2 linked regions of the Styela clava genome follow. The protein of the gene in region 2 binds, or shares a complex with, the protein of the main gene of each other region. Links are inferred from orthologs where the notes say so. Each region holds a gene or a part of one and is shown on either strand. Other genes may lie near its edges.

The links.
Region 1: the proteins of DNA replication licensing factor mcm2-like (region 2) and FACT complex subunit SPT16-like are in contact, whole or in part, in a crystal structure (PDB 8YJF), measured with the Homo sapiens proteins. The link is inferred for Styela clava from reciprocal best matches to the Homo sapiens genes MCM2 and SUPT16H. Residues at the interface, in NP_004517.2 of Homo sapiens: Ile73, Gly74, Asp75, Met77, Tyr81; in NP_009123.1 of Homo sapiens: Gln898, Ser899, Leu900, Asn901, Lys904.

What each region holds. Positions count from the first base shown.
Region 1 is NC_135262.1:5,714,758-5,722,302, forward strand, and holds the start of FACT complex subunit SPT16-like, read right to left. Parts: upstream 3,019-7,545; 5' UTR 2,962-3,018; coding exon 2,896-2,961; intron 2,666-2,895; coding exon 2,567-2,665; intron 2,442-2,566; coding exon 2,358-2,441; intron 2,254-2,357; coding exon 2,110-2,253; intron 1,565-2,109; coding exon 1,472-1,564; intron 1,098-1,471; coding exon 951-1,097; intron 516-950; coding exon 364-515; intron 18-363; coding exon 1-17. Other genes in the region: ATP synthase F(1) complex subunit delta, mitochondrial-like, read right to left, coding at 3,318-3,833. UniProt on the Homo sapiens protein: Component of the FACT complex, a general chromatin factor that acts to reorganize nucleosomes. The FACT complex is involved in multiple processes that require DNA as a template such as mRNA elongation, DNA replication and DNA repair.
Region 2 is NC_135252.1:13,315,841-13,323,028, reverse strand, and holds the start of DNA replication licensing factor mcm2-like, read right to left. Parts: upstream 3,023-7,188; 5' UTR 2,923-3,022; coding exon 2,764-2,922; intron 1-2,763. UniProt on the Homo sapiens protein: Acts as a component of the MCM2-7 complex (MCM complex) which is the replicative helicase essential for 'once per cell cycle' DNA replication initiation and elongation in eukaryotic cells.

The sequences.
Region 1 (7,545 bases), on a different chromosome or scaffold from region 2:
GAAGGGTATTCTTGTCACTGAGTAAAATATCAGGATGATACAGATTACACATACATATTTCATAAAACAGATGATAATGCTTTTTGCTCCAAACAAGGCACTGTACAACCACTGATATCTAATTGATCTTTGTTTGGCTCGGCGGTGTGTTGCATCGTGCTAAGCAATAGGAATACGCTCGCCACCTCACCTTTTGTTACCCTGTGTGAGTGCGCAGGTTCGAATCTCATGCGGGGATAGTTATGTGCGAGAGGATTGCTTGACTTCTCGCCGACATAGGGTGGTTCACGTAACCGCTGGTCAGATACGGCTTCCTCCACCATCAAGCCCATGCTTTCGAAAACGAACAACTGGCCAACTTACCTAGTAACACTGAACTTTAGGTTGCAGTTGCTGCCACTCTGTACGATGGGGGGATAACAAGACTCCACATAAGTTGGATCTGCTCCACGTAGATACTGTTTGTCCTCAAGAGATTTTTCAACGTATTCCGCTACTTTGAAATGCTTAACTCTCTGGAAAATTAGCATAAGTATAGTCATCTTGGTTGATTCTTAAAGAGATGGCTAGAGTGTAGAGACAAATATCATGTTTTGAAATGCGCAGGGGGTTGTGCGATAAACTGCCCATCCTTCGTTTTACGTTTTATGTTCTGCAGGATCTGTTATTTGACTCGTGTTACAAGGATGCTTGAATAAGATAAAGTCAGGAGTTTATAGCGACAGGTGAATACAATCTCATTCCATATGCGTGAAATGAGATCTCGCCAATTTGTTATCATGGTTTCACTGTACCAACACCATATCTTAATTCCAAAGAAGTCCTTCTTAAACATCAATAATCATCTGGACAGAACATAGAAAAACCTTAACATAGCAAAGATTAATTCTCTTGGAACATTATGTATGCAGAGTTTTTCGTGAATAAATCAACTTGAACACGGTACGAACCCTATCAGCATCTATAACATCTTTCATATATTCTTTGAAAACTTTGCTATAAACTTCCAAGGTTATTCCTGATGCTTTTCTCAGTAGATTCAATTCCGATTCTTCTTTGACTGCCATTATTGATGCCACATTTGCTGATACATCAATCTAAAATTATGAAGGTGAAGTAATATTGATGAGACTCACAGACAGAGACAGACTTTTATCAAGTTATGATTCCACATTGGTAAACTGTTTTACAGTTTTTTTTTTTGCCTCACCCTGTATATATATAAAACATGAAGAAATACAGATAGAAATGAATAAAATATCTTCAAGAAACAAGTATATAAACAGTATACATATAAAAATAGTAGCTCAGCCATATAATTGATTTCTCAGTACAAAACTTGTAAATTTTTAAAAATAAAATGCCAGAGAATTAATAAAAGTAATAGCCTATATCTGAATTATATTTGAAGAAAAAAATACTGTAGAAAATTAGAGTAAAATAACAAAAAAGGAGCATTCCTGTGACATACCTTATTCAAGTTAGACTTTTTCAACACTTCATTCCATGCATCAATAAATTTGGACGAGAATTTATCTTTTGCAAAAACTCCTATTGTTTTACCCTGTAATGAAGAAAAATTAGTTTGAGTATAAGCTTCATTTCAAGAACCCGTGAAAGCATATAAAGTTATTAACCATAAAATAGCACAAATAAGGTAGGTCTAATAGACAGATCTAGGTGAGTTTATTTCATTATTTTATGTTCTTCTATGTTGTATGGTCTGAATATTTTATTAATTTCATACACTATTTAATCGTTTATTGCTAGTTACTGGTTTGTTACATTTATTAATTTGTCATACTATATGGATGTTTCAATGTCTGGAATAAATAACAATAGAGAAAAGCTTTCAAGAAATAATGATTTTAAACATGGAATAAAAATCTAACAAGAACTTCTCGCCAAAACATAATATATTGATCTTCTAAATCTTAATTAGATAGCAGAACATTGGGTACCGCTGCTCGATAACCGACTTTGGTTCGCCGCGGCTTCCATTCCCCAGTAAAATTATGGTCTTTACTTTTTTGCATATTTTTTGCATTTGTATCTGTATATTATATTACTGGTTGGAAAAAATATACTTGACTGTGACTATGAACCTACATTTTTGCTCGACTTTAAGAACTGAATGATTTTTTGGAAGTTTTCAGTGTTGTTATCTTTCTCCCTCTGAATTAAGTTGATTTCAGGAATTCCATTCGCATTTTCATTGTTCTTTGTATTTGCCGCTGGTTTCAAAAACTCAATCTGAACAAAAAGAATGTTTCTCAAACAAAAGACAAAAAATCAAAAATATTTCAACATAAGCATTTCTAAATATAATGAATATAAAACAAACAAAAAACTCTTACTTTCTTTTTACTTGCCATGAACGATATGCTATTCTCACAGAAAGCCAAGATCACATCAGTTAGCTCGTATCCAAACAACCATGTCTAAAAAAAGCATATAAAATATCTTAATAAAGCTATGCCTGCAGTAATGGCAGTCTGATTTAAGCAACAACAATTTGCTAGTGATTCAGCTATTAAGATTTTGAAAATCAAAATTGAGATATGACCTGGATAGCTGTAGATTTTGAGTAAACAACATCTTCATCACTTCCCATCGCCACGACAACAGCATCTGATTTAGAGAATCCGTCATCTCCACTAGCATCCTATATTCAAAAAGTCTTCAGCTTGTTAGCATTTTGAAAATATATGTACGGTAAATATTATGAAATATAACATACCGATCAAATCCAATTTATAAAATTTCAATTGGGAAACACAAAATGCGTTTTTGAGTATATACCGATACAAATCATTCATAAACAATAACAAAATGGATGCATGCGATCAAAAACGTTTGAATTTTTCTAAATGAAATTTTAAGCATAATCCCTACCTTCCAAGCAGTATATATTTTCTTGAGACGACGATAAAAAGCTTCTATATCCAAGGAAACAGACATGATGATGAATTTAGATTATTAGCATTAGTTGGTTCTATGCTAGAAACAGAAACACTTGTGATTCATGTTATATTGGAATAAGATATTTTCAGAAAAAATAATTCTAAGCAATTCAGATAGTCATTCTTAAATACTATAATTAGATAATTAAATTATTCAGTTGCAATTTTCGAATTGAAATTTCCAATTTTACCTAGTCTATGTATGGTTAGACATAAGTCAGAACAGAATAAATAAACACAAAAGGATATTGAAATGGAATTTCATTGTCATAAAGATAGTCCAAACAGATACACCAATGGATTAATATAACATAAATCAAGCCATAAAATTTTGAATTTCAACAGAATAAGTCTCTATGACGCGGCACTGATGATGGCTTCGTTGCAGTCTATTGCCACCTGCGCTTCAGCCTTTTCAATATCCGTTGTTGCTGACGATAATTCCGCTTGAGCTTTTGTTAAATTTGTTTTTGCGGCATTGACATCTAGTTGATCCAAAGCTACGGCCTCTTCTGCGGCTATTTGAACCGTAGAATCTTCGTTCACCGTAAAAGATCCGCTACTGACGAAAAACTTATTTGATTTTCCATCTTTTTCGAATACGGTTAGAACACCGGGTTTAAGTACTCCGAAAATAGGAACGTGCTTTGCTAGAATACCAATGACCCCAGCCCCGGTGGGTACATCAGCTTGTTTCACATCAGTGCTTTCATTGTAGAAGGCCTCTACTGGAGATGCAAACGTAAAAACCATATCCTCTGATTGTGCAACAGCCGGTGCAGCATCTGCGTAAGTTCTTGTGCTCTGAGCCACCAAACGTCGAGCTACAAGTCCAGTGCGGCAAAAAACACGGGCAGCAAGAGACGCCATAGTTCCTTATTTTTTATAGCTTGACGAAACTATACTAATAAATCTAAAGCAAGATTTTAGAAGCATTATCTACACTCCCATTTAACTTTAATGATAAATTATATTATCGAAAATTATATTATACCCGATAATTAGATGCATCATTACTTATTGATTTTAATCGGTAAGTATGTCGATAGGTATTTGTCTGTATGTTAGATGCACGCCATATCTCACGAAAGCGAGATTGAATCTGCTCCAGATTTTGCATGTGCATTCATCATATCTCGGACCAGAAGCCTATTGATTTCGGGCGAATTATGCCGTATAATTAGAGAGTTATTAATTAATCAGTGATGGGACACAAGGTGTCACTATGGAATAAGAGCGCTGTTTTGGGGGATCCCCTAACTTTCGATCGATAAGTCTTAGGTCAGAAAGACCGATATTCTCGTTTCAAATGTTATGAAAATGATAAAAATATCATGTTCAAATTTAACAAATATCTAAGACTTTATGTATCACATAATTATTGGGTTAGTTGGCTGTTTTTGTATTATTCCAGATGTATAGACATGATGGGTAGAAAAGCTCTAAACTTATAGCATTTTATGGCCTCATCCATGAATGGCTGTTGGACATAGACAGCAGGTTTGAATTTTAGAGCAGCTGCACGAGGTATACAAAGGCTATGGAGTGAGGTGTTTGTAAGGACTTGATCTTATTTTAATTATTTATTTATTTTAAATGTCTCCAGCATAAATAAAAAATGACTATAAATATGGCGATGATCTGTGTAAATTTTTGTCTCAAAACTTTTGAAAAAAAAAAATCATTAGTGCTAATGCCAAAAGTATAAAGAAAGCAAATATAACCAAAAGGGAGTAAAAACGCAAAACGAATGAAAACAAAAATAGCGGTAAAAGATGTCCGACATAGACCACCAGTTGAAACCACATACAGACATGGTGTTGAGAGTATCGATGGCAATTATAAAGACTGGAGATGACATATCGCTGTATTGCGAGCAAAATGTGCCGCAGTGCCAAACTGGATAAATACAGAATATGTGGAGAGCTTCTTCGTGGATGAAATTTTGGGGAATAGAATTTTGTGAGAATGTGGTTTTGTAGGAAAGGATTTTTGTGCAAATGGTTTTTTGCGGGGGGTAACCTTGTGTATTATGATGGAGGTATTTTGTAGTCAAAATATTTGAAAATACGAAAAGAAAAGAAGATGCAAAAGAATGCATCTTTTTTAAAAGGTCGTTTCATAAAAATATGGCCAAAAATCGTTTGCTTGCAGATTTCTTAATTTTCATCAATTATTTCAGTATTCTAAAGTCTTCTATGTCGATTACTGAGTTTAAATACATTTATACTTATAACCAAAAATTGCAATGCAAAAAGAAATTGATTTTTAAACTGAAACTTAGTTTCACTTGCTCAACTGGCAAGATTTAAGGTATTCAAATGTGTCTCATTTTTTCCGCATGGAAAATCTCTCAACAATTTTTTCAAGATGCAAATTCTAGAAAAAAATTTTTTTTTAAGTTATACAACAGTACAATCATTTCAGAATTCCCGCCCTGATAACTTCCAGACCTCCTAATTTGACAATGCCATGCCGCCATTGTTTCATTTCAGTACAGCAGTAGGCTGTGTACAGATGTAAGTGTCAACCGAGACAAAAGAAAAATCTCACCCATATTCTGATTTCCCTCTAGCCTTGGTCTTACCAAAATTATTTTTTAATACAATTTCGAGTTTATTACATTTTTTATCAATCCTAAATACATGAACGAAATCACGGCACAATTTGGCAAAAAGCACCGCCAACACCAGTTGGTCGACAGCGCCACCATTCAGATCTTCTTTGACCTCTGTGAGCCCTTCTTATTCGAAAGCAAATCGCTTAGTTGAAAATGCGAATGGGCGCGATTTCATAGCGAAATATGGATTGAATTTATGACAAATTACTTTGTTCTTCGATGACCGTGAGTCAAATTTTTGAATCGTTAATGCAAAAAAAAACAAAAAACAGAGAACAAACAGATTTACAAATACATACCAGTAATGACTGTAATTTTCGGGCTCTAGCGTCACCCAACAGTTTCATTTAAACAATGTATTATTTGGGACGGGTTTAGTGCTATCCACCGAAAGAAAAATCACTAAAACTGCTTGATCATATAGTGAAAGTGACTCTCGTGTTTGTTTATCATACCGGTTATGTCCAACAAACGTCAAGTATAGACTTCCGTTGTGCAGTTTCTTCATATAAGGTGTGTGTTGGAGTGCAGGTTATACATCTTTTTGAAAAGAAGACCTCAGATGGGCTAGATACGTTACTTTTTTGACTTTCCGAAAGTACGGTAATCCTCGGTTCAACAGTTTAGATAAGAGTTCTATTGATTTAATCAAGTTGAATATATAACACACAACTAGGCTACATGGTATCATACCAAGAGCGTGTGTCTGTTTAGACACAGGCGACCAAAGAATAAAATGAAAAATTTGTTCCAAACCCCAGTACAACTATTTGACATCTACGTGAACCAAATTCTACGGTTTAACGTTTTCGAAGTTAGTCTTATTTTTGACTTCAAGTTCCTAATTCTCGAACGAACTACGAGAAGCGGGGAATCTAATAACTAGAACTTGTCGTAAATAATTACCAAACTACATCTGTATACGTAGGTTACGTATATTGATTTGCTTTAATATGGATTAGAGCATGTTATTAGAATGGCAACACGTAGGTCTACACAACTCGACCAAATACAACGGAGGGAAATAATATTATTGGCAATGAATATTAGCCGATAATACTACGTATTTTTTGTTTTGTTCACAATTTCGTCTATCGTCCCAAACGACCAACGCAATGGAATACCAGTTGGCGCAAAACAGTTTTTAGTGTGTGTGTTATCATGTTCTTGTACCCAAGCGGAGTTATTTTATATATATATTCATCAGAATGTCGATGTAAAATTGTTTTTTTAAATCAAAATTTGCACAATCACCTATCCCCATAATCCATTCTTTTTGTATAAATTGGATTTCACCGCCGTATTTTGCAACGCCCTGGGCATTAGAGATAATCCGTTGACAAAAAACCTAATTTTACATTTTTAAACACCCGACATGCTTCTGGTAAATAACTTAGACGCCGATAGCTTCTGTCCAAGAGGGTTTGCGAATGGAAAGACATTGCTTCGTCGCAATAGTTACGTACATATTTCAATAAATAAGTTGTCTTTGACCAAAACAATAATGGATGTAAATTCGGGATTTATGGCACGATGGAAATATTCGCTGTTAGAAGGGGATGAAGGATCGATGAAAGAATATTTGAATTGTTTATTTTTTTCTAGGCTATATCATAAATAACATACGCAAATAATATTTTATTATAAATTATTCAGTGCTTAGACTGACAAAGTAGCCTTAGGTGGTTCTAATACCCATAATTTTTAAGATTTTTTAGGCAAGATCGAAGCATTGGCATTGACCGCAACAAAAATTAAGGTAATAAAATTAAAAACGTTGTAAAATTTGAAATTCAAAGACACGAAAATTCACTTATGATGCCCATCTAGCGGAAGGGACGTAATTAATGCAATTATTAAATTTCCTATAAATTTTTGAATGCTGACTTGTATTAGTTACTTAGAGTGAATAGTAAGACTCAGTCCCGTTATTAATGCAGGAAAGATTTTTCAGAAATGCAG
Region 2 (7,188 bases):
GATTTATCGTCGACTTGAATACCACCGGCACTCGACCAAACTTGTGTCAATCTTGGCCGATAGGATCGACGACTTGAGTTAGCAAATAAATGTCGTGAGTGTAAAATAAATGTCACAAAATGCATTGTTTTGCGATATAACTTTGTGTTTTCGGAGAAGGCATATCATATAAGTTCCATATTTAAATTATACTCAAATAAATAATATTTGATCTTAAATTTATCGCAAATAATGTTATAAACATTCAGTCCGCGAAATGATTGAATGTAAAATGAAACATGGTAATCGGAATATCGTCAATAAGTCGACATCAATATTTATTATTATAAAATGCTAACAAGGCAGTAATATCGGATAATGCAGAAGACGCTGCAAAAACAAGTCTTCGTCGCGAGGAAATCGCAAGTATAATCAAACGAGAGAATACGCTCGTCGTTAGTTAATAAATTAGAAACCCGTAATTTTTATTCAGCACTAAGGTGGTTTTAAAAAACTATCGTTTCCATAAATATCCGTATACCAGTGTCGGTAATAATAAAATAAAATTGATCGCATAAAAATGGGACGGTTAATTTGCGAAGGTGATAAAGGAAAACCAAAGCTAACACAAAAGATAAAAATCAGAATAAAATTAATTTGAATTCACTCCTTGATATTTGCCTTTAACATCTGCCGACGGCGTGTAGTACTGCCAAGAATATGAAAACCCAACTTCAATGTTCCATTCGGAAAAGAAGAGGATTCAATTGGTTGTTATGATAGGTTTAAATGCATGGAAAAATATCGCAATTACGGGGTCATTACGTAATTGATTTTGCCGTAATTACGGAATTGATTTTTGTCAATTACGTGCAAGCCTATTAATCGCGGGGTCGTCACATGACCCAAATTGCATTTTTTTGCTGAAAATTTTACAGTAAATTTTAAACTAAACCAAGAAATCCAAAGGTGACGATTTTAGATTGCACTTCCTTTTAGTATATTGTGCAAAGCTGCTTTGCCAATTTATGCCAATATCGGGGCCCAGACTGTCTCATAAATGAGGGGTTTGATGTCCTTTAATGTGGCTATTCTTGGAATCGAATAAATGCGCCATACCGTATTCTGACCCATTTTTATTTCAGACTGATAGGGATTCCTGTTTCTGTGTTTATTTGGCATTTAAAAATTATGACAGTTATGAAGTATGCATTCTCATCGCTTTGTATTTAGAGGAATGATTTTACTGCTTTGAATACTAAATTAGTTTTTCAGGTACAGGGTGATGATATACCGGAAGATTCCATTTCATAGACCAGTAATATTTTTGTTCTATGCAGCTACAGACTGACCTAGAGCTAGGGTGGCTTACCCACTTTGCGGCCATGACCTATTTGCGACCATCAACTTCATCGATTAAATTATTGCCGAAAAAATTAACGAATCGCGACGATATTTCTCACGCGTTATCGTCCACTTATCCCTCGTAGCTCTGCGAAATTACACTAAAATGCGGCCACAAACAAAAAAGTTACGACCAAAAACCCGACCGAAGAAAAAAAACGGGATCATTTTCCATGTCGCCAACTAGTCATTGTCCCTTCAAAAAAGCTTGAAAAACCATACAAATATAAGAGATAGAAAGATGAAACTTGGCAGGTGGGTAGAGTTGTGTTTATTTTAACTATCTTTAAAGTTTCGCGTTTTTACATTCAAAGGAGTAGGAATAGGGGGAGCGCATTTCCAATACGCCGATAATATCTTTGTCGACCAATTTGCGACCACCGTGTTTTTGTCTGTTTGATTGCTGTGATGCGGTGCTTTGTTTATAATTTGACGAGTTTTGTTCGAAATAACCGTGTTCTTAAAATATATGACCGTAGAACCCCTGGCCGTAGAAAGTTAGAGGTTTAGCGTGTAGAATAAATGCCAATGCACCTTTACGGGTTAGAAATATTGGTTTTTGTTTTATAGCGGTTTGAATGAAATCGTCCGCAGACTGGCTACACCACCCTACCCAAGTCTGGATTTCATGGCCGTTTTGAATAAGAAATCGGGCGTGCAATCAGAAATTCCGGCGTGCAAATCAGAATTCCAGGCGTGCAATTATAGCTTACTTCGTGCAAAACAACTGCGCCCGCGTGCAACTGATTTTGATACTGTTCAATACATCCACGTAAAATTATGGGATACAAAATACGTCGAATCAGAGCAAATATGGACGTTTGACCTTTGACCCATAAACATTATTTCTATACTTGTCATTAATCTTGAGTGTTTGTGCGACTTAGTATATAGCCTAAGTATAAGTTTATTATACTGTGATTAACTTGATACCGGTACTGTTCAGTACATCCCCGTAAAATTATTGGATAAAAAATACGTTATATCAGAGCAAAATGAACATACTTTGTCAATAATCCGTTAATTTTGGGAGTGTTTTTACGTAGAATTATTGAATAAAAAATATGTTGAATCATAACAGAATGGACGTTTGACCTTTGACTCCGAATATTATTTCTATACTTCGTCACTAACATTTTTCGATCAGGCCAAATCTCAGAATCTTGCAAGCTCAGTGTTATGTAGTCGACAATTGTAGAGCTACAGTTTGTTGGCTTTTCTATATTACCGGTACTGGATTATTGATTTAAAACCATTTAAACCGATTTTCATTGGTGAGCAATTGCAAATTTTTGGCGTGCAAAATTGAATTAGCTCGGTGCCTTTTTACAGAATCAACAGGTAAATTCCAAACTGAAAACTCTTACTCAAAATACTCACCAATAAAGCATCAGCTTCACTCTCATCTTGAAATGGTGGAAGATCTTCTGCACCTCCTGGACTTGATGCAAAAGGCGCTCCCCTGCTGCTTGGACTGACCGGGTCGCTGATAGGGGTTCTTGGGTCGGATGGTATTCCGTTCATGCTGTCATCAGCCATAGTGAAAATAACTTCACAAATTAGGCTAGGCTATATTAAAAATAAATTATACTAAAAACAACACATTCAGAAATTATTGAATGAAAACGACAGACAAATACACGAACGAGCACCACAAACGAAAAGTACAGCAAAGGCTCGCGGCATGACTTCTAACAACAGCTGATTCCCGCCACTGAGAGACACGTGACTTGTTGCGGCAAAAAATATTTACATTCGCAACGGTTCTCCTAAAACCCGCCCATATCCATGACCGGGGAGAGGTTTTATTACATGAATAACATTATTACTGACATTATCAAGTAAGTGTATACAGTAGTATGTATAAAATCCACATTTTTGGACCACATCAATTTATGTGGGTCATTCTGCAAAACAAATAGAGGCTCTTGGCTCCCGACCCGTAAAGGGTTCCAAAAAAGTTATGTGCATGTTTTCGATAAGAAACTGAAAAAAGTTCTCCCTCCTTGAATACTCAAATTTGTCTTAATATCTTGAATAATGATTATCTTGATAAAAATATTAAGTTTAATATTCTTTAAAGTAGATGTTCCGAACACTGTATTCACTGTATTATAATACTATAAATTTAACCATTCCGTAATAAAACTGTATATTAAAGGTCACGAGCCACTTTCAATTTTTGTAAAAGTATAGGCTACTCAAATGTTTTCTTTCTTCTGACACAAACTACTACAATGTACTTTATTATTGTTTTCCACCAAAAAGCCATTGTTAATAGTACTTCCTATCTATCATTATTGTTGTATCTGTGATAATCCGATTGCCTCCTTATTTTTTCTCTGTGTATTAAAGCCTGACCCGGTCCAATAATTATTTAATTACAAAAACTATTATAAATATTTATAAAAACTAATCTAAGCCCTTGATAATTGTTCTGATTCTATGGACCTGGCCGGACTCAGAAACTCCACGTGACCTATTAACATCACGACTTGCATTATTAACTTGAAAATATTTATTTCTATTTTATCGATATTTCATCACTAATGTTGTTGTTCTTGTTAGTATTATACTTCTCTTTCGTCATGATGAAATCGCTTTCCTCTTCGAATACTGGACCAATTGCTTTGAAATTTTCAGTGGTTAAAGATTTATTTTTTTGCCAGAAGGCTATTACTTTTACTTATTTTAAAAATTTCTGTGGACTTCAAGAGAATCGTTTTTTATTTGTCAGAATAAAAAATAGCGACACTTTGTGACGTGTACATATATTTGAGCACAGCTCTCTTGTTAGTATTATTCTTCTCTTTCGTCATGACGAAATCGCTTTCTCTTTAAATACTGGACCAATTGCTTTGAAATTTTCAGTTGTTAAAGTTTGATTTTTTGCCAGAAGGCTATTACTTTTACTTATTTCAAAAATTTCTGTGGACTTCAAGAGATTCGTTTTTTATGTGTCAGAATAAAAAATAGCGACACCATGTGACGTGTTCACATATTTGAGCACAGCTCCCTTGTTTATATACAGCATGGACCAGAGGCCTCGGCGACCTAACTGGTCTGGCATACTGATCCTCACAAATAGGTATCAACCAATTATTGTAAAGTTATATATATTTTTTCAATTACTTCAAATGTATCATAGTGTTGAGTCCACACTGTTGACAATGTTTGTGGTAATAAAATCTTTCTCTCCTACTGGAATATAGAGCATTCACGTTAAAGTGATCAACAAAGTTAACGATAAAAAAAACATAATGTAGTTTAATTATAAGGGTAGATGAAGAAAGAAAGATATTTTGCGTTCGATGTAATTTTTTGTGGGCACTTGCTGAAAATCTGCCCCAACAATGAGTGCAAACTCTGCCAAAACAAAAAAAAGCAACGTTTGTTTTAATTGTGTTCTTCTCTGTTTTTGTTTTTTGTATTGGTCTTGATAGATTTTTCAGGGTGTCCGTGCTTGGTGATCAGTTTCAATTTTTGCATTTGTTTACACCCGCAATCGTTCGTGCAATTCATTGAAAACTTAAACAGCTAATTATCGATAAAAATAGGAATCACGATGAAGAAGATAAATATAATTTATTGTTATACCAACCGAAAAACAGAAACGCATTAAAAATGTATGTGAACAAGTGAGCGCGGCTCGTGGGTGTGGCGCATCGTGCTTAGCGTCCGGAATACGCTCGCCACCACATCTGATATTACCCTGTGTGCGGGTTCATTTCCCTGTGATAAGTATCAAAATCCTATCCTATCCCACGAAAATCTAATCAAACAGTATGTCCTCGAGCAACCATACACGAAATGTCCCTTTCGTTATCGGAGTCCGTTAGCAAACATATGATCGGCTTTTTTCACTACTGTAATGAATATGAAAATCCTATCCTATCCCACGAAAATTTAATCAAACAGTATGTCCTCGAGCAACCATACACGAAATGTCCCTTTCGTTATCGGAGTCCGTTAGCAAACATATGATCGGCTTTCTTCACTCCTGTAATGAATATGAAAATCCTATTCTATCCTACGTCAACTTTCTTCACACAGTAGGTATTCGAGCAGCGATTCACGAAATGCCCTTTTCGTCAACGGAGTCAAATGTTCCTTTCGTCAACATCCAATGTTTATAAACGCGGGAAAAATAAATAATCCGATTCAGATAAATACAAGACACATACACAATGGTCCTTTGGAATGGCTTATTTTATCGAGAAATAGAAATACGTTGACTTTCGCACCTCCCAAAGCCCAATACACGAAATATAAGAACCATATGAAGACTTCGTGTCCAAAAATCAGCAAATCGTTGGATCAAATAACAGGCCCCGGAGAATCGAATATAATAAAAAATATTAAAATGAATTGCCATTTAGCGACTATCGTTTCATCTTTATGTGCTGAACAATTGAAGTCCATTTGCCCATTAATTGCAATTTTTCACATCACCATCAACTTACCATAGAACTTACCAAAACGATCTATTAAAGTTTATCTCACAGCAGACTCGATAAGACGTTATATCTAAAATGTTCAAAACAGGTTTTCACATACATAAATATCAAGTTTTACATTATTAAATTTCAATATCACTTTGTGGTTAGAATATAAGCCCTCCAAGTCGACTTTAATGAATACAAATGAGACAATATATTACGGCAAACCGATGATTTGTAATAACTTTGCCATACATGTATAATTATTTTATTGCCAGGAACGCGCTATTGACAAGAAATCCAATTCAGGTATGAACCACAAGAGAATCTGAAAATAATCGCGTCATACGGATGACGGTATAGGTCACAAAATTTGGCATTTTTCTTATCAGAAAGACAAAGATTGCTGAAGTTGTGAGGAGTGAAGGCGTTTTTCCCCATGTAAACCCCTGAACACAAAAATCGAAACACAAAGGGTATAAGGCCCGATAGCAAAAAAGTAACTTTGAAAAAAGGACTGTTTTATTTTATTTTCGGTATTCAATAATTAAGGCAAATATGTAATGATATTAGGGTGGCACTAGTACCATATCATACGCCGTTCGTGGAGTAATCCCACCAAAATAGATGGTCGGGAATGTTTAGAGGTGTCCCAATAAATGGATGAAAGATAAAATATCTTTGATTATCATTTAACAAGACAAGCAATTTCTGTCCAACAACACTGCTAAAAGGAGTCACACATCCATTTCTTAAACTAATAACGACAAATCACATTTTTGTTCAGATTTTTTTTTTCTATTTATTCATTTGTATCATTTCACATTGTCCATTAGCAATTTGTATATTGTTACAAGTCTGCAATTAGTTTTTCCTTCGGTTTGACAAATACGTCAAATCACACTTTCAATGCGAAATTTACCATCGTGATTGTGTTTTATAGCGTAATATCAATAATAAAAACTTAGCGCTACGTGGAGCAAAGTGTTGTTGAGTCTGGCGTCAACGGCGGTTCAGTTACCACAGCATTAGCCCATTTACCTTGCGCTTAGAAAATAAGTATGACAAAAGAACAATAGGGGACAAAAAAGATCTTTCTGTTTGAACTATTAAGATTTCCGTTGTTCTAATTCATAAAATATAGCCCACAATGGGCATTTGGATTGGTATATTTTATTAAGAATTGGAAATACGTTGGCCTCCGCTACTCTCATAGGCCAATACATGAAATATCAGAACCATTTGGAGATTTCATGCCCATTAAAACAGCACAACTCTGGGTAAAATAACGGGACCATGCATTTAGCGACTATCATTACATCTTTATGCACTGAACATTTGAAGTCCCTTTGACCGGTAATTGCAC